Diceros bicornis minor: one gene and its partners. The protein of the gene in region 2 binds, or shares a complex with, the protein of the main gene of each other region. Links are inferred from orthologs where the notes say so. Each region holds a gene or a part of one and is shown on either strand. Other genes may lie near its edges. The genes, in order: RARB, MED1, MED13 and RXRA.

Evidence for each region.
Region 1: the proteins of MED1 (region 2) and RARB are in contact, whole or in part, in a crystal structure (PDB 1XDK), measured with the Mus musculus proteins. The link is inferred for Diceros bicornis minor from reciprocal best matches to the Homo sapiens genes MED1 and RARB. Residues at the interface, in NP_001073587.1 of Mus musculus: His642, Pro643, Met644, Leu645, Met646, Leu648, Leu649, Lys650, Asp651; in NP_001276689.1 of Mus musculus: Ile264, Val267, Lys271, Phe276, Ile281, Gln284, Ile285, Leu288, Lys289, Pro435, Leu436, Glu439, Met440.
Region 3: MED1 (region 2) and MED13 share a complex: the UniProt entries of both Homo sapiens proteins name them as parts of the mediator complex. The link is inferred for Diceros bicornis minor from reciprocal best matches to the Homo sapiens genes MED1 and MED13.
Region 4: the proteins of MED1 (region 2) and RXRA are in contact, whole or in part, in a crystal structure (PDB 1XDK), measured with the Mus musculus proteins. The link is inferred for Diceros bicornis minor from reciprocal best matches to the Homo sapiens genes MED1 and RXRA. Residues at the interface, in NP_001073587.1 of Mus musculus: Asn641, His642, Pro643, Met644, Leu645, Met646, Leu648, Leu649, Lys650, Asp651; in NP_035435.1 of Mus musculus: Phe282, Val285, Lys289, Phe294, Leu299, Gln302, Val303, Leu306, Arg307, Thr454, Phe455, Glu458, Met459, Glu461, Ala462, Pro463.

The regions. Positions count from the first base shown.
Region 1 is NC_080741.1:29,821,012-29,828,674, reverse strand, and holds the start of RARB (retinoic acid receptor beta), read right to left. Parts: upstream 3,021-7,663; 5' UTR 2,961-3,020; intron 1-2,960. UniProt on the Homo sapiens protein: Receptor for retinoic acid. Retinoic acid receptors bind as heterodimers to their target response elements in response to their ligands, all-trans or 9-cis retinoic acid, and regulate gene expression in various biological processes.
Region 2 is NC_080757.1:39,169,476-39,176,454, forward strand, and holds the start of MED1 (mediator of RNA polymerase II transcription subunit 1), read right to left. Parts: upstream 3,018-6,979; 5' UTR 2,833-3,017; coding exon 2,808-2,832; intron 563-2,807; coding exon 456-562; intron 1-455. UniProt on the Homo sapiens protein: Component of the Mediator complex, a coactivator involved in the regulated transcription of nearly all RNA polymerase II-dependent genes.
Region 3 is NC_080757.1:27,789,042-27,795,899, forward strand, and holds the start of MED13 (mediator of RNA polymerase II transcription subunit 13), read right to left. Parts: upstream 3,017-6,858; 5' UTR 2,858-3,016; coding exon 2,792-2,857; intron 948-2,791; coding exon 713-947; intron 1-712. UniProt on the Homo sapiens protein: Component of the Mediator complex, a coactivator involved in the regulated transcription of nearly all RNA polymerase II-dependent genes.
Region 4 is NC_080767.1:41,224,914-41,231,899, reverse strand, and holds the start of RXRA (retinoic acid receptor RXR-alpha), read right to left. Parts: upstream 3,004-6,986; 5' UTR 2,981-3,003; coding exon 2,950-2,980; intron 1-2,949. UniProt on the Homo sapiens protein: Receptor for retinoic acid that acts as a transcription factor.

The DNA of each region.
Region 1 (7,663 bases), on a different chromosome or scaffold from region 2:
ACATACTCTAAGTGGAATATAACGTTGGATTCATGTCTTTAAATTCATTTCATTACTAGCTATATTGCAGCAAATGAAATGCTGGGAAGCTGGAATGAGAAGTGACTGCACCAGTTTCCTGGTTCATGAGTTTCATAATGTACATTTAAGGTGCCATCTCCTGGCGAGAGCTTTCTATACCTCTAAACCAGAGCATGTATTTTATCTTTGATTGTGTGCTGAAATAGGCTGTAATAATGGCATCTGGCCCATTTATTTCTAAAATAAATATAAAAATTAAAAAGTCCTTTGTTATTATTTAATCAGTTAAAAATATGAGTCTTCTGAATAAGCTCTATGGATTACATCAATGTCAATTTCCTGGATTTGATATTATAATATACTGATGCAAGATGTTGACATTGGGGGAGGGCTGGGTGACAGGTGCAAGAGGCCTGCATGTACATTATTTTGCAATTTCCTGTGTATCTATAATTATTTTAAAATAAGCATTTTAAAAGTTAAAAAAAAAAAAAAGAAAAAGAATGCTGGCAGCTACCAGAGTCTGGAAGAGGCAAGGAATGGATTCTCCCCTAGAGCCTCTGGAGAGAGCATGACCCTGTGGATAACTTGTTTTGGCCCAGTAATGAGGATTTTGGAATTCTGGCCTGCAGAACTGTAAAAGGATATATTTCTGTTGTTTTAAACCACCACGTTTGTGATAATTGTTTACAGCAGCCACGGGAAACTAATACACGATGGTGGGAGGAAGTTTGCTGCATGGATCCTGAACGTGAAGAGAGGACCCTTTGGACACTGTGGAAACAGCACTAGGTGGGGAGTCAGGAGGCTCACCTTGTTGAGGTCTCTTCTGACACAAAGATACTAGTATATTACCAGATTCTGCTTCTGTTGTAACGTCTATGCTCAATGAAAAAAATGAGTCTTGTAAAAGTAAGTTTTTTCTATCTTTCATTGCAATAGGCACATTCAAATGCTAATTAAAGTCCATCATTTTATCCTACCATATCCTGAGTATGTAACCTAATTAGTTCTAAACCTGCCCTCCCCATTTCTCATTAAGTTGACATAATATCTTCTAGAACGTTGCAACTCAAAATGTGATTTATGGGCCAGGAACATGGGCTTCACCTGGGAACGGTTAGAAATGCAGAATCTCAGGCCTCACCCCAGACCTGCTGAATCAGAACCTACATTTTAACAAAACCTCAGGTGATTGTATTGTGCGCACGAAAGTTTGAGAAGCTCTGCTCTGGGATTCAGGAAGTCAGCAACATCTTGAAACGACCTCACACAGCTGAACTTATGCGTAAATCCTCAGCCACAGGTCTTAGCCTACCAAGAAATCTCAGCGTTTTAAAGAACATCTTAATGTATGCACCATATAGCATCTACTTCTGCATTGGCTAGCAGGACATGGTTTTGACATGATATATACCATTAGTAACATTGTAAACGTGGTAGTTTCTTCAAGAAATAAAGACTATGTTTTTTCCCTGGCATTTGCTAAATACAGCTTTTATTTGTGGCTCTGCGACTGCCAGGCTTCATGTTATTTTCTTCAAGCAATGTTATTTTGGTGCCAGCTGAGAAGGGCAAGCTCATCCCGGCTGGGTTTTTCCTTTCCTATTGTCACTTGCTTAGAAGTTAGCAGCCTCGTCTTTTTTGGTACCCAGTTTGAGAGCTCCGTGGGTGTTCTCAGGCTTGTAATTGCACAGAGTTTGTTTGGGAACAGAAATGTTTCCATAGTTCCACTTGCTCTGTTTGTCTGGGTCCCCATTGCCAATGTTTTCAACCTCATTGAGGTATATAAGGCGAACTTGTCCATGTTGGTTCCCCTTGTTTGCAACAGTGCAGCATTGTGACCTGATTTCACAAAAACACACAGTGCGTTTCTCCCCATCTTGCCTTAATTCTTTAGTTTAAAATGTTTAGAGTTTGCCCTATTTTATCAGGATTAAGGCAAAAGTTGGATTCAATCTTTTAGCTATTCCAACCCACATTTCATTGACATGAAAAGGGCATTCTTGAAGCTGATGCACGTGGACACACTCATTTTTTACCTATTTGTTTTAAGAGAAAATAATTCTCTGGTCTATGTTTGTCCCCTAGAAAACAGTGATCACTAAGAGAGAAGAAACCAAAAGAATAGCTAATTACTCAGAGAAAAACGCTTTGCTAATGACTTATTGAATAAGAGAAAATCAAACCTCACATTAAACTGACTTAAATCCTAGCCCTCTCCTCTGGTACAAGGCCTCCTAAGGCTACAGACTATGCCTTCAAAGCCACAAACAGTAAATAATCCAGGAAATCGCAAGCGCTGGAGGATAAATATGAGGAAGGCAAGTCCAATTCTCCTCTCTTGACGAGGAAAAGAGAGGAAAAACTGGAGTGGATGCAAATGCTACCCATTCTTCAAACCAAATATTTGTTTAAAATAACCATATGGGCTGGGCGCAGTCAAGATGGCGGCGTAGGCAGACTCGGAACTCACCTCCTCCCGTGGACACAGCCAATTTACAACTACTGGTGGAACGATTACCCCTGAGACAGAACTGAAAACTGGATGAGAGGAACTCCTGCAACAACGGACAATCCTAACTGAGGTGGAAGAGGGAGAGACTCCCTTCTGGAGAGGAAAAACGCCGCCTTCACAAGCCGCCAGCTTCACGGCCGCCGGGAGCAGCTCACAGGTACGCACCCTCCCTGGAGACGCGGGGCCCTGAGCCGGGGAGCGCCCCCGCTGTGGGCATTTTGTGGACCCAGCACAATCGAGACCAGTGGCATAATATCTGACTTTGCCTGCTGCTAAAGCATTGGGGAGCACCCCCAGAAAACCCGGTTCACAAAGAAACTAAAACTGGCTCTTAAAGGGCCCGCGCACAAACTCACCCGTTCCAGAAAGCATCCTAAAATCACAAGAAAGGTGCACAGTGCTTTGGTGACAAGAGACTCACCTAATAGGCCCTGAGTGCATCTCGGTGAGGGGTGAGACCTCTCCAGGGACTGGGACATTGGCGGCGGCCATTGTTGTGGCCTGGTGTGGGCGTGCTGACACAGACGCCATTGGAGTTCTCCCTGAGGCCTGCTAGCCCAGGGTCTGCTCCACCCGCTAGAGCACCGATTTAATCCAGCTCAGCCAGGGCAGGCAGCCCACCCTAGAGACTGGCCCCACCCAACAACAAGCCCTCAGGCAACGTGTGGGCCTGCATAGATTGGTGACTGGATTCTCTGCAGCCTGGCAACTGAGCCGACTTGAGAGGGGCAGGGTGTGCACAAGGAGCAAGTGGAGAGTGTGGGGCAGTGCCGGAGTGTGTGGGGCTCCCGCCGTGGAGAGACTGGGTCCGCTTGTGGGTCGGGGCGCTCACACAGGGCAGGACTGTGTTGACTGTGTGTGTGGACCTGTGGGCAACAGGGCTTGTCAGCTGCAGAAGACTTGTGCTTCTCAAAGACCCACATAGGAGGTTTGCCCCACCTTCCAAAGCCTGAAACAATTGGGTGCTCCTGTGCCTGAGGCCAGCCCCACACAGCTGCAATCCTCAGAGAGCTGACAAGAGACCTAATAGGCTAGAGGCTTACAGAAATTGTAAGGCCCTGAGCCTAACAACCTGCCGCGCTGGGGGCCTAGTCACTTAAAAGAAATATTGCAACACAAATGTGGTATTAGAACTTACAGCCAACTGTGCCGGGGCTCCCCACACCTGATAAAGAGACTGAAGGGCCCACAACAACTACAAACAGCTGAGCATTACAACAGCTGGCCAGGAGCATAACTCAGCCTCCCTGGGCGCCTATAGGAAGAGCTAACAGGCCACAATAGAAGGACACACATAGCCCACATAGGGGTCACCCCTGGAACATTGAGAACTGAGGGAAGCACACTGGAAACCTCCTAAGGCATCACTTACATAAGGTCACCTATCCATGAGCAGGAGACGTAGCTGACCTACCTAATACGTAGACACAAGCACAGGGAAAGAGGCAAAATGAGGAGGCCAAAGAATACATTCCAAGTAAGGGAACAGGACAAAACCCCAGAAAAGGAACTAAGTGAAACAGAAATGAGCAACCTACCCGACAGAGAGTTCAAACTAAGGGTGTTAAGGATGCTCACTGATCTGGGGAGAAGAATAGATGAACTCAGTGAGAATGTCAACAAAGAAATGGAAGATATAAAAAAGAACCAATCAGAAATGAAGAATACAATACTGGAAATGAAAAATTCATTAGAGGGACTCAAAAGCAGAGTAGAGGATACAGAAGAACGGATCTGTGAGCTGGAAGAAAGACTAGAAGAAATTACCCAAGGTGAACAGGTAAAAGAGAAAAGAATTAAAAAGACTGAGGACAGTCTAAGGGACCTCTGGGACAACATCAAGTGCACTAACATCCGTGTTATAGGTGTCCCGGAAGGAGAAGAGCGAGACAAGGGGTCAGAGAATCTATTTCAAGAAATAATAGATGAAAACTTCCCTAACCTAAGGAAGGAAACAGACATCCAGGTACAGGAAGCACAGAGAGCCCCAAACAAGATAAACCCAAAGAGGCCCACGCCAAGACACATCATAATCAAAATGTCCAGAATTAAAGATAAAGAGAGAATCCTAAAAGCCGCAAGACAATGTCAAGTTACATACAAAGGAAACCCCATAAGGCTATCAGCTGACTTCTCAGCAGAAACCTTACAGGCTAGAAGAGAATGGCACGATATATTTAAAGTGCTAAAAGAAAAAAACTTACAGCCAAGAATACTCTACCCAGCAAGGTTATCATTCAAAATGGAAGGAGAGATCAAAATTTTCCCAGATAAGCAAAAATTAAAGGAGTTTGTCACCAAGAAACCAGTGCTACAAGAAATGTTAAAGGGACTGATTTAAGGGGAAAAGAAAAGACCACAAATAGGAAAAATTATCTATTTCCATGATTAGAACGTAATGGATACAAATGCACAAAAAAGAGGTTAGATATGATATAAAAACATAAAAGGAGGGAGGAGGGGAGTTAAAGAGTACAGCTTTCAGACAGAGGTCAAACTAAGGTGACCATCAATTCTGTATAGAAGAAGCAAGGAACAGAGAAGGACTACTACAACACTGAGGAAAAAAAAAAAAAAGTTAAAAAATGGCAGTAAGTACATTTTTATCAATAGCTACTTTAAACGTCAATGGACTAAATGCTCCAATTAAAAGGCATAGGGTGGCTGACTGGATAAAAAAACAAGACCCATATATATGCTGCATACAAGAGACACACTTCAGACCTAAAGACACTCACAAACTGAAAGTGAAGGGATGGAAAAAGATACTCCACGCAAATGGCAATGAAAAGAAAGCTGGGGTAGCAGTACTCATATCAGACAAAATAGACTTTAAAACAAAAACTATAAAAAGAGACAAAGAAGGGCATTACATAATGATCAAGGGAACAATCCAACAAGAGGATATAACACTTGTAAATATCTACGCACCCAATGTAGGTGCACCTAAATATATAAAGCAATTATTAACAGACATAAAAACAGAAATAGACAGTAACACAATAATAGTAGGGGACTTTAACACTCCACTTACACCAACGGATAGATCATCCAAACAGAAGATCAATAAGGAAACATTGGCCTTAAACGACACACTAGAACAGATGGACCTAGTAGATATATACAGAGCATTCCATCCAAAAACCGAAGAATACACGTTCTTCTCAAATGCACATGGAACATTCTCCAGGATTGATCACATATTAGGCCACAAAACAAGTCTCCATAAATTTAAGAAGATTGAAATAATACCAAGCATCTTTTCTGACCACAACGGTATGAAACTAGAAATCAACTATAGGAAGAAAATCAGAAAAGCCACAAATACATGGAGATTAAACAAAATGCTACTGAACAACGACTGGGTTAACGAAGAAATCAAAGAAGAAATCAAAAAATACCTGGAGACAAATGAAAATGAAAATACGACATGCCAGAATTTATGGGATACAGCAAAAGCAGTTCTAAGAGGGAAGTTTATAGCGATACAGGCCTATCTCAACAAACAAGAAAAATCTCAAATAAACAATCTAACAATGCACCTGAAGGAACTGGAAAAAGAAGAACAAACAAAGCCCAAAATCAGTAGAAGAAGGGAAATAATAAAAATCAGAGCAGAAATTAAGGAAATAGAGACCAAAAAAACAATAGAAAAAATTAATAAAACCAAGAGCTGATTCTTTGAAAAGATCAACAAAATTGACAAACCTTTAGCTAGACTCACCAAGAAAAAAAGAGAGAAGGCACAAATAAGTAAAATCAGAAATGAAAGAGGAGAGGTTACAACAGACACCTCAGAAATACAAAAGATTATAAGAGAATACTATGAAAAGCTATATGCCAACCAATTCGACAATCTGGAAGAAATGGATAAATTCTTAGAATCATACAACCTTCCAAAACTGGATCAAGAAGAAGTAGAGAATTTGAATAGACCAATCACCAGTAAGGAGATCGAAACAGTAATCACAAACCTCCCCAAAAATAAAAGTCCAGGACCAGACGGCTTCCCTGGTGAATTCTACCAAACATTCAAAGAAGACTTAATACCTATCCTTCTCAAACTCTTCCAAAAAATTGAGGAGGGGGGGAAGCTCCCTAACTCATTCTACGAAGCTGACATTACCCTGATACCAAAACCAGACAAGGACAACACAAAAAAAAAGAAAATTACAGGCCAATATCACTGATGAACATCGATGCAAAAATCCTCAATAAAATACTAGCAAATCGCATACAACAATACGTTAAAAAGATTATACACCATGATCAAGTGGGATTTATTCCAGGGATGCAGGGATGGTTTAACATTTGCAAATCAATCAACATAATACACCACATTAATAAAATGAAGAATAAAAATCACATGATCATCTCAATAGATGCAGAGAAAGCATTTGATAAGATACAGCATCCATTTATGATAAAAACTCTGAATAAAATGGGTATAGAAGGAAAGTACCTCAACATAATAAAGACCATATATGAGAAACCCACAGCTAATATCATCCTCAATGGTGAAAAACTGAAAGCCATCCCTCTAAGAACAGGAACCAGACAAGGATGCCCACTCTCACCACTCCTATTTAACATAGTACTGGAAGTCCTAGCCAGAGCAATCAGGCAAGAGAAAGAAATAAAAGGGATCCAAATTGGAAAGGAAGAAATGAAACTGTCACTATTTGCAGATGACATGATTTTATATATAGAAAACCCTAAAGAATCCACCAGAAAACTTTTAGAAGTAATAAACAAATATGGTAAAGTTGCAGGATACAAAATCAACATACAAAAATCAGTTGCATTTCTGTACACTAACAACGAAGTAGCAGAAAGAGAAATTAAGAATACCATCCCATTTACAATTGCAACAAAAAGAATAAAATACCTAGGAATAAACTTAACCAAAGAGGTGAAAGATCTGTACACTGAAAACTGTACAGAAAGATCTGTACACTAAAACTATAAAACATTTCTGAAAGAAATTGACGAAGACACAAAGAAGACACACACGGAAAGATATTCCGTGCTCTTGGGTTGGAAGAATTAACATAGTTAAGATGTCCATACTTCCTAAAGCCATCTATAGATTCAATGCAATCCCTATCAAAGTTCCAACAACAT
Region 2 (6,979 bases):
TAGAAAAAGAGCTTGACAGAGTGAACAGGTGAAGCTAGTACTGTAGAAAAAGAGCTTGACAGAGTGAACAGGTGAAGCTAATTAAGAATAAATTGCAAATTCTACTAGTAGTATAAATACAATAAAAGTACTATCACATTAGAATCAACAGCTTGACAGGAAGTGAAGAATAAATGTCTCTCTATAACAATCTATCCTGTGTGCCTCTATAGGTGTATTTCTTATCACCTTTGCCTAAAGTAACCCAGTGTACTGTAACTCATGATTAACACCATTTTATAAATATACCTCCCTCTTAGACTCTTAAAGTTGATAGCCAGTGTACTCAGGTGTTTTATGATAAATAAAACTGCAGACACACTACAATAACTACTTTTAAAAAGTCTACACAGGAGCTTAGCTTATTAAATAATTATCTAAGCACAACACTTTATCCACTTCACTACAATCCTCACCATGACTTGACGCACAAGCTTAATGGTTTCACTCCAAGGTCTATTTTGGTTAAATTTTGCATGGAGCCGTTCCAAGAGAGAACTCATCTTACTCAGCTTTTCCGATTCTACGATATAAATCAGAAAACATAATTAGAAACTCTTCTTTCAAGACCTTCCACAGTTTTTCCTGCAAATGAAACTCCCATACTTCCTCCTGTTAAGAACTCAGTTAAAATATTTTTCAGTGTCATTTACTTCAAAACATACAAAGAGGGGCTGACCCCATGGCTTAGCGGTTAGGTGCACGCGCTCCGCCACTGGTGGCCCGGGTTCGGATCCCCGGCGTGCACCGACGCATCACTTCTCTGGCCATGCTGAGGCCACGTCCCACATACGGCAACTAGAGGGATGTGCAACTATGACATACAACTATCTACTGGGGCTTTGGGGAGAAAAGGCAAAAAAAAAAAAAAAAAAATACAAAGAAATTTATTTTTAATGATAAGAAGACACACAAATTATGGGTCTAATCTAACAAACACCATAGAACAAGACTGCTTTCTATTCAAACTTTTAATAAGAACCAAAAAAAGAACCATCTCTAATAATGTTTCAGGATTGAGACTACATTTCATGGCAAAATCATTTCATGATATGCATGAAATCCTTTGTATGATATATGTGGAGCATACATTTGAACATGGCCTTACTATGATTAGTTGGTTTTCAGTGTGAAAATACAGACTTTCTTAATTTTTTGACATAATTTTAAGAGATCAATTTATAAGTACTATCAAGAAAACAGGCTTTATTTCCCATTCAGATTTTTCCTATTTGAATTCAAACTAAAACTATATGGACAGGGAAGACATCACTGACTAAAGACACCAGTGTTTTGGACAACAGATACCAGGATGAGTTTCCAGCAGAGGTAACAGAAAGGTAGAAAAGACTGGCTCCTGGATTAGGTGTGTGAACAAACCTACACTCTCCAACCCTCTTCTAATTCTTGTACTGCTTAGTATGAGCAAGGACCTGTGCTAGAGACCACTGGCAATGCAAAAACACACAATATGCCTGAGATGACATCTGTGAGGGGGTGTGGATAAGTTAACGTGGAAATAACCATCACACAAAGCCAAAGGAGATATGCTCTTAAAAACAGAGACACATTCTATTGAAATTCAAAGGAGGAAAAGTTCATAATTAGTTGCGGAGATGCTACAGAAAAGATGTCATTGAAAGATGAATAGAATGTCAGCAATCAGAGTTGAGGCAGTGACATCTTCTAAATCAAGATTCAAACACCTTCCTCCAATGCCCTCATCTTCTGGAAAACTGGTTTGGGGGCTGTTTCAGCCAGTTTATAGTTCTGGACACAGTTCTGGCAATTTCCACTTTCAAGACTTATTCATTCAAGCACTATTGTACGTGTGGGGGCTACAACAGCGAGCAAACTAGACAAAATTCCTGCCTCATCGAGTTTCCATTTTTACACTTGTCATTCCTCTATACCCAAGGAGTATACCTTTCTTCTTCCTCTCATTCAAAACACACTCCCCTTCTTTTCCTTGAGAAGCCTGAAGATAAATATCTTTACACAAATGTTCAAATCAAACATTCTTTGAGCAACTATTATGTGCCAGGGACCATGCAACGATGAGGAACACAAGGGCCCTGATCTACAAAGCTCAGAGTAAAGTGGAGAAGAAGAATTAACAACAATACAGTGAGCTGTATCAATAGCACTATGTCCAAAATACTAAGGAAGCATTTAAGCCAGAATGCGAAACTTTAGAGAATCTAAGTAAGTTTCCACAGAAAAGTCATTCTTCAGCATTTCTAAGTTAGGCCAGCCATTGAAAGGATGAAATTCAGCGCATTTTTAAAATATACAATAGCACAAGATCGGAACACTGTGGCATTCTAGGGAACTGCTGGCTTTTAATATTTTAAGGACCTAATCATTTCCCTTACGCCAAAACATCCTCCAGTACTTTGACACGCAGCTCTGTTATTTTTTGTCATTATTCAGACGTCTCTTCTGGAACGAGATGTAAGCAAGTTTTAGATTCACTCGCCTGTTCTCCCATCACTTTAGACTAAAAACGCTCTGAGGCCCAATTGATTGCCCCTAGCTATGCAGGAAACCTTCACAGAAGTTGGGAGCCCCCATCACCCCAAAGTCGGAGCTCTCCATCACCAGGGAAGGCACAGTCAGAATATAAAACCCACACATACCCCGCCTCCTGGACTCTGCGCCCCCGGGAAAGTGGCCCCCGCGGAGGCATCGGTCCTCTTACAGCTCCTCTTACAGGTTGGCTCCCCCCAGCTGTGTCCCGCCCCCCTCTTTCCCCCTCAGTCACTCACCCTCGGTTTCCCCCTGAGCCTTCATCCTGACGGTGGGGAGAGCCCGATTCCTACACAAGAGGATAAGCCCTTCCCCACCAATAACGGGGGAACCAAGTTGGTTCGGGATCCCGGGACGCAGGGCACCAGCAGTCCCCACTCTTCCCGGGAAGGCTCAGTCTGAAGTCCCCGGCGGCAAGAAGAGAAGGGTGCTCGCGGCCGCCGCCATCTTCCCCAACGGAACTTCCCAAAAATCGCGAGATTAACCGTGATCCTGCGAGAGAGAGGAAAAGGGCTGGGCACCAAAATATCGCGTAAAATGGTTAATAGGGTGCTTCTCGCGAGATTTTTCCAACAGCGTTTCCTCTTGTTTGTCTCAGAGTCTTGGAGCTAGGCGTAGAGTTTGCCGGCGGGTGCTCTTTAGGTCTTTCGCGAAAACTGTCGTCTTCCTTTTGGCATTTAAGCAATTCGCAGATTAAAATCCCCCACTCTCGTTACTGAAAGACTAGCTTTTCGAAGAATATTGGTATCGGAAATATTTTACTAAAGATAGTATGTTTTCTTGAGATACTAGATGGATTAATTATGCCGTAAAAAAGATATTGGCCGGGCCGCCCGGCGTCGCGGTGAAGTTCGTGCGCTCTGCTTGGGCGGCCCGGTTCGCCGGCTTGGATCCTGGGCGTGGACCTGCGTACCGCTCATCAAGTCATGCTGAGGAGGCGTCCGACATAGACAACTAGAAGGACGTGCAACTATGACACACACAACTGTCTACTGGGGCTTTGGGGAGAAAAGAGGAAAAAAGAAGGAAGATTGGCAACAGATGTTAGCTTAGAGCCAATCTTCCTCAAAAAAAAAAGATATTGGCTCTTTGTAACTTGACGTTCCAAGCCAGCCCAGTACCCTTAATTCCTATTTCCTAATTTTTAATTTCAGACATAATTTCTTGAGCAATTCCAATATTTTTGAAGATCTGGGAGATTTTGGATTAAGGTAAATTGTTAGCAATCAGAGCATCAGATGCTATTAATTATATTTTGAGTCTTAAAGGCGTTCACAACTGATTGTGTCCCTTTTTTGCAATCATAGTCAAAACAAGCAGGTTAGCTCACACTCTACAAGTCACAAAAATGTGTAGTCGTATCTCTTGTATCAGTAAATCCTCACAAAGAGAAATTTGGGGTAATGTTGAGAAGTTCATGGCCGCTGGAACTGAAGAACCAGGCTAAAATATAACAATGCTAGCATTAGGTGAAAGTTCTTAACATAATTAAGGCTACTTTTTTTTTTTTTTTTTTTTTACCATACACATCCTTGAAAATAACTGCTGAAAAGTTGGATTTTATGTAGTTTGCTGCAAGGATACTAAGGAGTGGACTTCTGCTGGATCTCTAGTCTCAGACTTTCCCCACATTTCAAAAATGCTATTCAAACATCCTCCAAAGCGATTCCAGCAGATAACTATAGTTCAGGTGAGCAGGCACAGCAGTGTAAATTTAATAATAACAAAACTTTGGAAATGTCTGGGAACATGTTTTTATTGCCACAAAGATACCTATAACCATGCTCCTTGAAAGTAGAATTCAAATTTTATTTCCTGCTTATTCCTCTTATCCTCATTCCTTTGAGTCACTACATAGTGAGTTTCTTGGGGCAGGAATTGCCCCTCATTTCTGAATTCCCGCTACCTAGCACTATACCTGGGCCTAGTAGGCAAATCTTTTCCTGGGCCTGTAAAGCCTTGCTAGACCCAGCTCTCCTCCCCTTGCCAACCCCCAGCCACACTGGGCTTCTTCATGTGCAGAAAATTCCTGCACTCCTTCCTCTCCCAAGGTCCTGGAACAGGCCTTTTTAACTGCTGGGAGGCTTTCCCCTATTCCAGTCTTTTCATCTCATTAAGGCCCTCTTATTCAGATTTCAATTTAAATCTCTCTTCCTCTAACTAGCAAAGCAAGCCTTCTCTAATCCCTGATTTGATCAGATTCTCTGTTATATTATTATTTCTTTAATAGCACTTTCACCATGAAAATTAATTAAGTGCATGATGATTTCTTCAATGCCTGTCTTCCCTACTAGACTGTCAACTCTGGGAGGGCTGCACTGGTTTGGTTTCTTTCACTACTGTCTAGTGACATTGCCTAGCCCAGCTCCTGACACATATCAGCTACTCAGTGTATAGTGTTGAGATAAATTGATAGGGTTGCCAGATAAAATACAGAATGCTCAGTTAAATTTGAATTTCAGATTTCTATATTTTTTAGCGTAGAAGTATGTTCCGAATATTATATAATGTAAATCTAGCAACCTTAAAATTGATGAAGTACACACAGCATTTATCCACGAGAGAATTTCCAAAGATAGTTCATATTTTAAATGCTATTTCCTTTCCTGTTGTCAAACAAAGTGCTCTTCATTCAGCAAGTATCTATGGGGTCCTAATACTTGTGTATTAGGAGCTGGTAATATAAACATGAAAACAGCCCTAGCTCTTGATGGGCTCACCTGATTTAGACTTCTGAAAATATGAATGGTCGCTATAATCATAGGTACTCAAAAAATTTTTGTTAATTTATTATTATGCCCAAAGTATCAATGTTAGCTACACAGCTACACTTCCTCATGGAAACTCTCTGTACAAGTAAACAATAATGTCTGTTCTAAGTGTAGCTAGAAATTTTAACCCTTATAAAGCTTGAAAATGGAGTACACTTTACCAAATTCCGCTCATAGAATAGAATGAGAAGTTATAATTTCTCATCTGAAAATGCAGATGAAATGACATTGTTAAAAAATTTGTACTCTAGATGTAAAGATAGGAGAGATGTGTCATTAAACAAGAAAAGCATTTAAGGCCCACACAGGAACCATCTTTCTACATGGCAAGAAAGAGACAATGGACAGATTTTAAGGGACTCATCTTTGAGGGAGACTTTGGAGGACTCTTGAAATCTAAAATCTAAACCAATAAATTAGGGGCCAGCCCGCGGTGGCGCAAGCGGTTAAGTGCGCGCACTCTGCTGTGGCAGCTCAGGGTTCGCCGGTTCGGATCCCAGGCGCGCACCAACGCACCGCTTGGCAAGCCATGCTGTGGCGGCATCCCATATAAAGTGGAGGAAGATGGGCATGGATGTTAGCCCAGGGCCAGTCTTCCTCAGCAAAAAAGAGGAGGATTGGCAGATGTTAGCTTAGGGCCGATCTTTCTCACAAAAAATAAATAAATAAACAACAAATTAGTCTGGGGGGGGCAAAGTTATTGTAACTTTAGTTAAATATTTCCTCTTGTGTACAGCCTAAAGAGAAGCTTTCTGACCTGTTTTGGGGGATTTACAGAGAAAGTATAGTCATTACCTGACTGATCACCTTGGGGTTCACAGATTTGCCCGGACTCCCTGCCCCGGGAGGTCATGCAAATAAAGCAAATGGCACAGTCCTGGAATTTCTGAGTTCAAAGTTTTTCTGTAGAGTGAACTAACCTTTATTTTACAAAAGCAGTATTCTCACTAGTTGTTGAACCAATCCAGGCAGTTTACAATCTGAGATTTCCAGGAATAGAATTTTTTCCCCCAGCTTTATGTAATTGATGTTAGAGTAGAATTTTATCCACCAAAAAGAGAAAATGTAGTGCACTAGAACGAGTACTGGTTTAGGATTAAAGAAAGAGCTGTCCCTGCCCCTGGCACTGACTACATTTAGTATAAATGTGCTCCTATTCTTTCTGAGTCTCAGTTTCAACCTTTAGTAGATGCATATAATAATACCCATCCTGGCTACCTCACCAGGTTATTTATTTGTTCAACTGATATTTATTGACAAACTTAAAAGAGTTCTGTGGAAAACTGAAAAGTGCTATAGAATATAAGATATAAAACTTCAATGAAAAGCTTCACTTTTTTAAAAATTTTTATTTATTTATTTTTCCCCCAAAGCCCCCGTAGCTAGTTGTATGTCATAGCTGCACATCCTTCTAGTTGCATGTATGTGGGACGCGGCCAGGCCAGAGAAGCAGTGCGTCGGTGCGCACCCGGGATGCGAACCCCGGCCGCCAGTAGCGGAGCGCACGCACTTAGCCGCTAAGCCACGGGGCTGGCCCCACTCTTTTTTATCTTTAATCAAGATTTATGGACTCAATACAGGTAGGGGCCAGCCAGTGGCTTAGTGGTTAAGTTGGTGTGCTCTGCTTCGGGGCCTGGGGT
Region 3 (6,858 bases), about 11 Mb from region 2:
AAAGTCAAGAAAATAAGATGGAAGTAATCTTAGTCATCTGCTCATAATAAAATTACTTCTGTGTAACTTTTTAGATTACGACCCCCGTGTCCTATAAAAGCTAAACAAGTTGGCAGTCATCTCATGTTAATGATAGTCTTTGATAGAACAGCATCTAAAATAAAAGAATCACTTTCCAAGAATAACAAAATTAACATATGCCTTCATATGTTAATAAAATAACAACCACAAATAACTAACAAAAATAACTACATGCCTTGAAAAAACACATGAGAAAATTACAATACATTTCTAGATACTCCTACAATTGTCTGCATACTTGTACAGAAGAGAGCAGTGGCAGAAATGACTCAAAGGTGAATTACACTTGGCTTCAAAAGTATTATACGACTGCGTTAGGAACTTGATGCTCCCCGATTTCATTTTCCTTAGGTTAATGTAACATGCCTTCCTTGGGCCCTAACTGCAAGAAATTCATGAGGAAGGTGGGTGGTGGAAGAATAAAGTTATTCAAGGCTTAAAAAGTCTGCCATAATATGGATAATTTAAGTAAAATAAATAACCACAGCGAAACAAAACATGAAGCTGACTTTTTATCTGGCTTCATACCTACGAGTGTTCCTCCAAAAACATCTTAATTTGTAATACAAATGATTTTTGGGTAACGTATACAACATTGCTATATCATTAATTAGAAATAAGTTGCTTTCACCTGATAAGTCATGGTGAATAAGGTCAGCAAAATTGGGGTCTTCACCCCACCAAAATATCCACAATTCTCTTCTTCCAGGTCTTTGATCTCGCCGCCAAACACCAAGTACATCTGCCTTAAGGCAGCGACTAAAACTGCTCAAAATGGGGTCTTCCTCAGTCACCGCAAACAGAATAGGGGCAGAAGTTGGGCCTTGCCATACATATCTTTTCCATTTAATTCCTGTCAAGTCAGCCTGAAGGAAAGAAAGCATGATTTTTTTATTATTGCACATTCACTCAAAAAAGTCAACACTACTCACTCTTAAAATTCCTTATTTCATTAAGACATTACAATTTTTCAATATGTGCTTAAGATATTGAAAACAGATTGACTAATTTAAAAAATGCTTATTAATTCTGATAATTTAACAACCAAAAATTTTAGGAAAACAAAACAGTTAAAAAATTAACACTGACGTGTCACTGAATAGCAAGTCAATAAATGTGTCCCAAGGAGAAATAAAAAAAACTTAAAAATTTAAATATAAACGTGTACTTGAATACTGCACACACAGAAGACATTTCCTCTCTGTCCTAAATTCTGTTCTAATTGGTCACACTTAATCCTTGGTGTCAAATTTGTAACACAAAACTAATTTTTAAAGATATGATTCCATGTCTATAGAAGTCATGGCTCTAATGAAAAGAAATCTGAACTATAACGGAAAAAATTCTTGTTAACTCTCCACATATCACTTTTAGGAAACGTCAAATAGGTGTTCACAAAGAACTGTCAGATTTGTGCTAGTCTATCTTCAAAGAACCTGATCCCAAAAGTGCCAAAAATAGACTTGAGTCGGAGAACACAGAAATGTAAAACCCGCTGTATGTCTTATTACATCTGAAGAGATGTTGATTAATGGACATCGTACAGAAAACATCTTATAGGGAAAAAGGGAATTAAAGATCTCAACTTAGCATCATGAAAGAAATTAGACAGAGGGAATTCACTAATTCTTTAATCTAACTTAAACAAGGTGCAAAGCATAAGGTGCCAAAAATGAAACTGCTGATACATGACTGGCAGTTTACACTTGCCAACTAGTTGTGCTCCGCCCACTCAATTCACTTACCTATCACACACTCTTGTCAGTATTTCTCATAGCACAGAGAAAATGAAAAAAGAAAGTCACCGAACTTTAAATCATTGATGAAGCTAAGCTACTGTCCAACTGAGGACTAAGTATTTGCAACAGTTGGTACTTCTGAAAGTCTTAACAACTGGATCTTCCCAGACCTGGGCCAACCTACACAACTGTCATCTCCATAGCCAGCTTCCCCAGACTTTTCAATAAAAGGAGGAGCGTCCTGCTCAAAACATTCTAAAAACGCAAGCAAAACAGACAAATATAGCAATATCTAGTGCAAAACCATAGCACCTCCTCCATTAGTCCGCTCCACTCTCACACAAACATAATGTTCTAATAAAAGCAAGATGGCCAGAAATTGTCAAAATGGCAAACTGTTTTCAAAGTTTAAAGAGAAAACATATGAAATGGCATCTACTGGTTTTTACACAGAGGTCTGAAGTCATCCAAGAAAGAAACCAACCCTCTGTTTGATTCATATAAAAAAAAAAAAAGTAAAACGAAAAGAGGTTTTAGTGCATAAGTTCCGGGGTCCTGTTTATTGGGGGAACCCAAATTACCAAAGTGGGGCAGAAAGGCAGTGGGAGAACGGGTAATAATAGAAAGTGTGAAGAAGGGATACAAAGTCAACAAGGAGAAAAGCAACAGTTAAGCACGAAACAGAAGGAAATGTTAGCGTCCTGCCAGATAAGAAGCCCAAGTTGAAGACAAGACTATGGTGAGAAAAAAAAGAGTCAGAAACAAGACAAGAAAAAAAGCCAACACCGCTAAAACAGAGCCCAGGGCAGAGGGCGAGCGAACGCGCCTCCCGGGGCCGGTGCGGAGCTCCCGCGGCGCCGGCTCGGGCCGGGCCTAGCCCGGGGACTCGGGATCTGGATCCGACCCGGCCCCCTCCCCCACGGCCCCAGGGCGCACCTCGCAGCCCCCTCCCCCACGGCCCCGGCACTCACCAGGCAGAAGAGGTTACAGTGACAATCTTCCAGGCTGGCCCCGTTCGGCACGAAGGAGGAACTCATCGTCCCTCACAGCAGCCGCCGCCGGCGCCACAACCCACCATCCGCCATTACCGCCGCCTCCGACCAGAGAGAGAAACACAGACACCGGGGAGGGCGGGGGGGTGGTGGTTGGGGGGGCGGTGGAAGAGGAGGCCGCCGGGCCGCCCGCCCTCCCCACCCACCCCCCCGCCGCCGCAAGCAGCCCCCGCCGCCCGGCACCCAGCCGCCCGGGGCCGAGGGCCGGAGGCGGGAGGGCCACGCCGCGCTCGCCCCGTGGGCCGGACTGCGGCCGCCGCGGAGCCCGCGGACGCTCGTCCCTCTCTGGGGGACAGAGGGGACGTGTGCCCCTTCCACAAGTAAAATAATAAATTACACAATAAATAATTAAAATCAAGTCCGAAAGGGCAGAACCCAAGCTCTGGAGGGTTCTCCTGGGGCGGGAGGCGCCCGCAGAGGGGCGGGAAGGGCGAGAAGCCGGAGAGAAGCCCAGGCCCCCGGCGCGGCAGCGGCGATGTCCTTAAGCCCAGAGTCTCCTCAGTGGCGGAGGTGGTGGCGGCGTCTGCGGGCTCAGACCATTCTCGGGCTGTCTTCGTGTTGTCCCTGGGCCAAGCTGGCCTAACGTCTGCGCTCCTGCGGCCTCACCGCCCGGACGCCGTAGTCTCCCCCATTTTGTGGGCCCAGCGGGCGGTGTTTTTACCCCTTTAATCCGAATTCACGGGTTTTCCCTTCGCTTTAATGGCGGCCACAGGGACCAGCTCGCCCTCTCTGCTCGCCCATTGGCCGCCTTGAGGTCACGTGGGCCCGGGCTCCGTGGGGAGGGGAAGAGAGAAGGGAGTGAGGGAGGGCCGGGAAGCTTTCGGCAGAGGCGGTGAGCCTCGGGGACGGGGCAGCCCGCTGGTGGCTGCTAAGATAGCGCCATCTGCTGGGTGCTCCGGCCAGTGTAAGACGATCGGGGCCTTGGCCCTAACTTTCTCCTTGCCGGGGAATTTACAGTACAAGAGGGTTCACATCACAAATCGGAGAATTACGTGGAAATCAGCTTGAATTCTTTGGAAGAGAAAATGTTGCAAAAATTCCACGGCATTCTCATTTATTCCACGAGGCCGCTGAGGTACAGCGCAAACCCCTGGGCCTGGGACGATCTGAGATAGGACTCAGCCACTTAAAAGTTGTGATATTAAGAAAGAAACATAAAGGAAACAATATAACCTTGTGGTCAATAGCCTGGGAGTTAGAGCCACACTACCTGAGTTCAAAACTTGAGCTAGTCACTTACCTCTTTGAGTCTCAGTTTCCTCATCTATAAAATGGGGAAAACATACCCCCTCCTCATAGTGTTGTTGTGATAATTGAGTTAATACAAATAAAGCACATAGCCCAGTGCCTGCCACAGATAAGCATTGTTAAGAGTTATCTATTACTGTGTCATCATTTACCTCACGTGGTTATCGTGAAGAGTAAGTGAACCAGTGCATGTAAAGTGCTCACTGGAGTGTAATCTCCGTTGGAACCGGGACTTTGCTTCGTTTACCTCTGTATCTCTAGTGCCTAAAAAAGGTTCCTAGCACACAGTAGGCGCTTGATATTTGTAAATTTGCAAATGAATGAGTGGTAAGAAGTAGGAACCAAATACATAAAATGTTAGTTCCCTGCTCCATAAAACACTCAGTTCTTGACTGGATTACACTTCAATGCAGGAGTTCAAACATTTTCCCTGGGAGTTTTAGAAAGGAGAGAAGGAAAAAGACAGAGAGAAGGGAAGGGAGGGAGGGAGGGAGGAAGGGAAAAGGAAGGAAGGGAGGACGGAAGGAAAGAAGGAAGGAAGGAAAGAAGGAAGGAAGAAAAGAAAAACTAAAAGTGATTCAAAAGTTAGAAATAATGAGTTAGGACTTACCATAATTTTAAATCATAATTGCCTCTGTAAAATAAATGGTGGACTCTTCCATGTCACTTCTTCAGCCGTGGAATGAAAAGCATTCCTCATCCATCCGAGATCTTGAAGCCAAAAGCCTGTAAAAAAAGTTCTGCCACTTACTGGTTGATCTTGGATCCAATTTGATTTTAGATCAAATTAATTTCTCTTACTCTCAGTTTTCTCATTGTAAAACGGGGGTAATAAAAGTACTTTTCTCATATAGTGCCTGGAAAATGAAACAGTGTAGGTATAGGGCTTGCCATAGTGCTTACTAAATGTTAGCTATTAATAAACTTTTAAAAATCGTTATTGAGCACCTGCGTGCTCAACTAAGTGTGTTCCTGGTCTGTGCTAGGCCTGGGATACAAATACGGATAAGACACCGGCCTGTCCTTCAAGGTTCCTGAAGAGAGGCAATAAAGGAACTATTTCCCACAGAATAAGATAAAATACAATGGAAGTAATTGCTTGAATAAGGTATGTATCAACTATGGCACAATGGAAGTGCAGGACAAGGAGCACCAAAGTCAGAGAATGTGTCTTAAAGTAGGTAGCACTTGAAATCAGATTTGAAGGATAAAATGAATTCTTATAAAGCCCTTTGAAGCAGTTAAATCTTATTAAACCTAATTCAGATCCAAAGGCCACATATCAAAGTCAATTATACAACCAGGACTAATTCAATTCAGGAGCTCAAATCAACTAAGGTCCACATCCTTTCTAACTGAGTGCCAGCACCAGGAGACAGCAATCCCCAGACCCAATAAGGTAAGAGCCCCTCTGCTCATCTCTCTTTCCCTGAAAGAATCCTCAGACCTTTGTGCCCACTACTTTTGTCACTCTGATATGTACTCTATCTACCACCTCTTATTTTATCCAAAATGTAGCCATCCTCTTTAGAAGTCTTGCCGTCCATTACCCTGCCCCCAACTTGAGCACCTGTCTCAGGACTCCAGAGACAGATAGAATCTGCCAGAAAACCACGAAGAGCAGAGTAACATTTGATTGACCTTTCATTTGAATGTCAATCTTCTCAAAAAGAAGGGAGAGATAGGAGACAAGAAGGGAGGAAGACCCAGAGGAAAAAGTCTGAGAAAGGATCACGGAAAGGAGCAGGACAGAGGGAGACAGAGGGAGAGGGAGGGGGGGAGAGAGAGAGAGAGAGACGAAAAAGCAGAAGAGAGATTGAGAGAGAGAATGGAGAAGTGCAAGTGGAGAAGAGGGACACCAACTGTGAGGGGAATGGAAACATCATGGGGAGAAAAACAAAGAGCAATATCAGCACACACAGAACATGTCAGTAACCAACTACATTCTCTTAAAATGACATTTTGTGTGATTTAAAGAGTAATGGAAATAAATAAAAAACTGTATATGCACATTGTCAAAAGTTTGGAAGATATGGAAAAGTATAAAGATGAAAAATAAAATACATAATCAAAAAATGCCCATAACATTACCACTCATAATTAACCATGTTTTAACATTTTAATGTATTTTCTTCCAGACTTTTCCATATATATATATATTTTTCTACATGGTTGAAGTCATACTACATATACATTTTACTACACATGCTTACTGACCATCTAGTATGTGTCACGTCATATATGCACAAAGCACAGGATATATGAGGAGCTCCTTGTCTTGCTAGATATGGCACTTGGACAGTTGGACCAGCTGGGGTCAAAACTCCACACCACGCCTGCTAGCTCCCTAACTTCCATTTACTCATTTGTAAAATGTGTATGTAATAATAGCACCTAAATGTTAGAGTTGTTGTGACAATTAAGAGATGATCCAAGTAAATAAGAGAGCCAATCAGGAATGTTAAAGTGAATCTTAGATGTTGCCTTGGGTCAATAATCACCTATTGTCTTCAACATTTTGAAATGTGGATTCGCTCAATGATCTACATTTAAAACTGTTTCTTTAACTCCTTCAGCCTTTTAAGGGCGCCATTCTGAAAGGGATAGTGGAGGCACCTGGCATCCAGAAAGGGTGACAGAGTTACATCACTTGAGACAGAGCAAGTCCAGGAAAGGGCGATGTCTAACCTTAGAACTAAGGCTCCCCACCTGATTCTGAAAAATCCCAGGATCTAGAA
Region 4 (6,986 bases), on a different chromosome or scaffold from region 2:
CAAAAACCCTACAAGCACCACTGTCTTTTTACAGAAGGGAAACTGAGGCTCAAAGACACAAAGTTCAACCTGCCCAAGGCCACACAGCTGGCTGGTCAGTGGCAGACAAGACCGGGACCCAGGGCTGCCTGGGCCCGAGGTGCAGGGCGAGGGTGGGGGAGGCCAGAGGAGCGGGGTAACCTCAGGGGCACTGGAGGGAACCTCTGCCCCAACAAGGGGACGGAGACCACTTAGGGGTCTCCACGCAGATGGACGGACATCAGCACATACACACTTACACCCCACACACACCCTGCTGGGGCCCAGAAGCCCCTAGAATCTCCCAACCCCGGGCCATGCCCACAGGGTGGTGGGTGCTGCTTGAGGCGCGGGAGGGTGGTGACCAGAGCAGGACCCCGGGTCCTGGAGCCAAAGTCTCCGAGAACGCTCCGGTTCTCTCCTCCTCTGGCCTGGAAAAGGCCTGGCCAGTCTCAGCAAGAGGCCAACTTCTTCCTCCCCAAAAACTGGGGAAGGGGGAATCCCAACTTTGACAGAAACCAAAAATCGGCATTCCATCTTTGTCCATAAAATAATAAATACCGAGATACGCTATTATCCAGACATCCGCACGTGGAGGAAGGCCGGGCCACAGCAAAGGCCCGCAGCACTAACCCTGGGCGGGGGGCACGCCATGGCCGGTTTTTACTTCCTCTGTTTGGTGTTAATAACAGAGTTGTAGGGTGGTTGGTTTTGGAGTTCTTTCTTTCTTTGGGGGGAGCTGTTTTACAGAATCTCAGCATCATCCCTGATCAGCCACTTGCACAAACTCTCCCACCAAAAGCACCCTCCTAGCCAAACACAGGTTTGATATTCTCCAAACCCATTGCCGCAGACTCCTCCACCCTCCCCCAGTGTGAGCTGGAAGGAGCCCCAGGAGGGCCGGGAGCTCCTCGCCCAGCCCCGCGCCCACCGTCCGGCCCGTGTCCTCGGCTGTAAGGTGAGCTGGCTGACCCAGCATGGCTCGGCCCAGACTAACGCCAGCCCGTCAGAACGGTCCCTGGGCTGACCCCGGGATGAACCGGGGTTACTCTGGGCCGGGGCCTGCCTGGAAGCCTTCGCCAGCCACCTAGGACCAACCTCTTGTGGCATCCCAACCCCAGAGCTCCAGACAGGGCCGAGGCCCACCAGGGGACCCCTCAGCCTCCCTCCAAGAAGCTTGCCCATCTCCCTGACCCTGACCGGGCAGCCAAGTGCCCAGCACCACTGCAATGCTGGAGGCAGGAAGGTCTCCTGGGGTGCCAAGCCAACCACAGCCACAGTAGCACCTCCTGTGCTCCTCCTCACCCGCCCTGGGGGCTCCCACCCCTCCCCACACTGCCCTATGCTCTCTGGGCCTGTCCACTCTCCACCCCCAGCCTTGGGAACTGGATCATTTCCAGGAACCAGCTCTCTCGCCTGTAGTTGCGGACATGCTGTTCCCTGGGCTTGAAACTCCCCCTATCTGTCTCCTGGCTCACTCCAACCCAGGCTCAGTTCAAACAACACCCCCTCCAGGAAGCCCTCCTGATCCTCCTAGCCAGGGCAGAGGCCTCTTCTACTATGTACCCCCAGAGCACTCACCATGCCGCAGGGTGGCCCCAGCCCACTTGTCTGCGCCTGCCAAGGTCTGGGGGCTCCTGAAGGTAGGAACTATAACTGGTTCACTGAGCACCCCTGGGGCCTGGCACACAGCAGGTGCCAAATAAAGACTTACTAAATGGATGGATGGGGTGGGGGTGGGAGAGCTAGCAATGGGTGAACACAGGCTACAGGATTCACCACAGTCCTTAAGAACCAGCTGAGCAAGCACCAAGTTTCAAACAGACCCTAAGGCACTGACAAGCTGTCCAACTCCAAGTAGATTAAGCAACCTCTCTGAGCCTTTATTTCTTCTTCTGCAAAGAGATGTCACATACGAAGGAAGTGGTCAGGAGGCAATGGAAGTGGACGAGTGACCCTGAAGCTGCCCTTTCTCACCCGTCCCCACAGATGGTGAACAGAGGTGGTGAGGCACAGGTGGCCCAGAGCTAGCAGACCTGAGTTCGAGTCCTGGCTGCTGCACGACTCATGCCTGGGTGGGGCCCCGGGCATCTGACTCAACCCCGCTGGGTCTAAGAGTCCTTGTCCCCACAAAGGGATGGTGCCCTCGGCTTCAGCCCCCCTCACACATCACACAGAGCACTCACTAGGGGACACCTGTGTCCCACCGCCCCCATGCTAGGAACAGGCAGATGAGCAAGGCCGGGCCTGCCCAGGGACACCCCGTCCAGAGTCAGACGACAGCCTTTCCCGGAGCCGAGAGAGCCCAGTCAGTCAGTGATGCAGCACGAGGAGGAGGGGCACTCTGTCCTGGTGCAGACATCAATCAAGGAAGGCTTCCTGTAGGAGGCACTACTCACCTCCCTCCAGCTACAGCACAGTAGACTCCTACATCCTCCAAACCAACCCCTCGGCTCTCTGTCCACAAGCTGGGAGATAGAAAAGACCTACACACATGCCCACCCCAGGGCAGCCACCACAGCCGCAGCCCCAGGGAAGGCGGCAGACAGATGCAGGGACCCCTGGCACCAGGAGGCACCGGGTCCAAGGCCAGCCCCACCTCCCCCGGCCAGGGACCACAGTCAGTGGCGTCACATCTCGGGGCCGCAGTGTTCTCATCTGGAAAATGGGCTCACAAACCCGCCAGACAGGGCTGTTCTAGGATGACTGGGTGAGCTGAGCATGTGCCCGGCGCCCAGCAGGCCTGGGCTGCTATGGCGGGGAGGCACCGGCCACGACTCCAGCACATGGCAGGTGCCTGACAACCGAGAGCCCCTTCGGAGGTCACTGCTCTTCCCGTGACTGTCATCCCAGCCCGAGTGACAGTGCTCGCTGCCACCGGCTGGAACCCACATGGTCCTCCCACCCCGGCCACTGAAACTCCCACCTTACCGAGCGCCTCTCCCAACACCCGCCTCCACATGGGCCCCTGGCTGGGCGGCAGCCTCGCTGTGTGGCCCAGACCCAGCCCCTCACCCTCTCTTGGCGCCTGCTTCCTCATCTATAAGAGACTTGCCCCCAGGCCCCTCCCCTGCTGACAGGCGACGGGCAGACGCCAAAGTAGGGGTGAGGCCTGACCACAGTTCCTAGAAGCCAGGCCCCACCCGGCAGGGGACCTGATAGGGGTCTGCAGCAGTGCGAGGGTGATCCTGAGCCCCTCTCCTCCTCCCCTTCACCCAGAGGGCCTGATTCCAGAAGCATCCTCAACCAGCTCCCTGCCCAGGCCAGCAGAGTCCCCTCAGGGATCAGAGAGCCTGGGCTACTCGCCTGAGGTCGCACAGCTCAGAATTGCAGAACCGGACGCCCCCAGCAGGTCACTTGGCCTCTCTGAGCTCTGGTTTCCTCCTCTCAACACTGAGAATGAGAATGCCCACCCCAGGAGGTTAAGGGGAGGGCCCCCCGACCCCTCCAAAGTCAACTGCCTGGAGCACGTGGACAATCGATGAATGTGCAGCCCCCGTGGCCACTGTCTGCCCCCCTGCAGTGCAGGCCCACGAGCCAGGCCTCACGCCAGCCAAAGGGAGAGGGGCGCCACCCAGTGCTGCCCAGGGCTCCCCTCTTCCCACCATCTCCTCGAGAGGGGGCAGCCCAGTACGCCAGGACAGTCCCTCAGAGGGCACAGGGAGCTGGGACCCTTGGCTGCCGCCCTCTGCCACCTGCTCGCTGTGTGCCCACCGGGCTGGCAAGCCATCCTCGGCCTGCCTCTGCTCCCCGACCCTCCTTCCTGCCCCAAGGCCCAGGTTCAAATCCCGCCTTCCACTCCAAAGCCACCTGACCTCTGTAAAAGGGGCAGGTCACAAAGACAACGTGGGCCCAGAGTAATGTCACCCTGCTCTAGTGTGTCACGACTCTGCCAGCACCTCGGGCAGCAAGGGGAGGGGAGGAAATGGGGAGCCCGACACCCCAAGAGGGAGGCGCAGGCTGGGCCTGGCACCCAGGCCCCTGACACCCAGTCCTGTGACAGGCTGGCAGGATGTTGGGAAACCCAGGAGCACTTATTTCAACACCGCCCGCCGCGTCAGCGACTGGTTTCGACACGCAGCAGCGCCCAGGCAAGGGCCACTGCCAACTTGTCCGCCGCCCGGCGGTCACGCGGGGAGAGGCCGGTCGGGGCACAGGGCTCACGGCCCCACGGCCCCCCGGCACCCCCAACCCCCCGACCTGGGCAACGGCCCTCGTCCTCAGGGCACGCAGAGATAAGGGTGGGGCCACCTTGAAGGTGCAAAGGCCACGCCCAGCCTGCTTCCCACTCCCCAGGCCAGGCCGCAGGCCCCGGGAATGGCGGGGACCAGGCCAGAAATGGGCCACCGTGCGCGGCCGTGAACCGGGTTGAGGCTTCCCTGCGGACCTGCGGGGCGAAGCTCGGGGGGAGACGGTGTTCTGGAAAGAGAAAGCGCCCGCGGAGGCCGGGCCTCCTCCCCAGCCCCGGGAGGCCCAGCAAGTGGAGTGGCAGCGGAAGGGGTCCGCCGGGCTCGCCCACAGCCCCGAGCGCCCAGGGCGCCCTGCCCGCCCAGGCCCGGGGGGCCCCTTCGCGGGTCGTCTCCCTGTCCCCACGGCGGCCAGCCAGGCGGAGCAAGCGCGCCCCCACCTCCCAGGCCAGCCGAGCCCGGCCCACTTGCGGCCTGCACGCCTTTGCTGACTTGTAAGCAGAAACAAGAGTGGGCCGGGGACGGCAGGTGCCACTCAAGGGCACCTCGTGCTCCAGGGACATGAGCCCTCACGGCAAGCCCACCCCAGAGAGGAGGAAACCAAGGCCCAGTGAGGGCCAGGGACTCACCCAAGGCCACCCCTGGGGGAGCAGGGCAGCAAGAACCCCACCCCAGCCCCACAGCTGGCTGCCCGCACCGGGCCAGCAGGAGGCAGGAGCTTTCATTGGGGTAGGGGCCCGATGGGGGCGGTGGGCCAACTTTGGAGGTAAATGCCCAGCCCACATGCCCTCTGCCATGTGTCCCTGGGACGACATGCCCAGGGCCCCAGCACCCGCTGACTCCAGAGCCTGCCCAGGGCCCCACACCAGCCGACACCCGCACACTCTCTCTTCAGCTCTGGGGGCTAAGTCTCCCAGCACAGCTGCCCGCTGTTCAGGCCAGACGCGGCCTCACCCCAGGCCCTCAGGAGACATCCCAAAGGAGTGAGCAGAGGGGACTCTGCCCTGGCCGCTGGCTGCCACCTCCCTCAATGACTGCGGCAACCCCTCAGCCGGCCGCCCAGCCGGGCAGCCTCCCCTCTCAGCAGCACCCTCTCCTAGAACGTGCGGCCCAGCGGCATCCACGCTCCCTCTGGCCCTGCCCCTCTGTGGGTTGAGCCTGATGGGCATCCGGCCCCCCAGGTCCTGCCACTGCCGGTTCCCCACCCTGCAGACTCGCCGGGGTCTCCACCACACCATGGGCTCCAAGGGGCCACAATGGTGTCTGGATGCCCCACCCCTGGTGTCCAGCACAATGCCCAGCCGACTCTCGGGGACAGGCTGGGGGTGACAAAGAAGCACGATTAGAGCTGTCATGCCACCGTTGGCTCTCTGAAATCCCGAAAGGCTCTGTATAGCCAGGCCACATCAAAAGATATGGAATTTCAAATGAGGGGTGACCATGAGCCCCTCACCTCACACCAGATACTGCTGTAGATCTGGGGACACACAGAGAACCCACTGGGGGGACAGAGAGTGAACCAGCACAGAAATAAGGAAGGTAATCACAGGTTCCCGGGCGGGGAGGCCCAGTCTGGGCCCAGTGGCCAGGAAAGGGCTTGTGGAGAGCCGGGGAATGAGAGCAGCCAGGCAGGCAGTCTCCTGCAGGGCGAGAGCGGCCCTGCCAGGTCCAGACTCAGGTCTGAGACAACAAAACCCGGTTCCCCCAGGGCCCACTGTGGACCGATGTCACCCAACGCACCCCTCTGGGGCCCTCAAAGATACCTCCGATGGGGACAGATGGTTCTCCTTCCAGTCCCCATATTGGGAGACCAAGGGCCAGATCCCGGCTGCGTCCTGGGGAGTCAGGCAATGGGGCTTCCCCTCCCCCCATGCCCACCCGCCCTGGAGCCCTGCCCCCAGCACCCTACGAGGTCTTGAGACCCAGCAAGACTCCAAAACCTCAGAGGGTCTTGCTTGGCACACTGAGGGGCTGTGAACACCCAGCCCATCCATTCGGCAGACTAGAGTCAGAGATCCGGTGTGAGTTCACGTGTCTGAGCGTCTGTGCACGCGCATGCATACGTGTGTGACTGCATAAACAACGTGTGTAAGGTTTCAGGTTAAAATGGGCCTTGAACCGGGAGGAGGGGGTGTCTCCACTCAGCCCTGGCCCCCACGCCTCCGAACCACGAGGCTGCAGGAGACAGCAGGGCAGCTTTCGGACGGGACGGGAAGGGGGATGTGCCCAGGGTCACTCAGCTGGAGAGCGCCCTAGCCGCCCCAGGCTGGACCTCGAACCCAGGCCCGTGACTCCAAAATCCAGGTAGCCCCGGGTGGGGCCAGGGGTGGGGGGGCTCTCTGGGATGGGGCCCAAAAAGGCCCTCAGAGGTGTGGCAGTCATTGTCCCTCACACTAACACATGCACACACACGTGTGCACCACCCACAGAGCGACACACCTGACTGCTCACTCAAAGCAAGACAGACAGCTCTCCAGAACCTTCTGCTGCCTGTGCCTTCTCACTCCACAGGCTGCATCTCACCGCACTGACATGCAGGGGCTGCCGGGCCCCGGGAGGGAAACCCCAGGCCCTCGGGAGCGCCCGCACCAGCGCCCAGGGAGAGCAGCTGCCATTCTTCCCAGAAGGGGCCACGCCCGTCAAGCCCTGACCAGCCTCTGCTGAGCCCGTGGGGGCACCGGGGAGCCAGAGCTGGGAGCGGGCAGGGCCGAGTACGCAGGCGTGTCCTCCTCCACCGGGAGGGGGCCTCTCAGGGACGGGCTCGCAGAGCCGAGGCCCAGG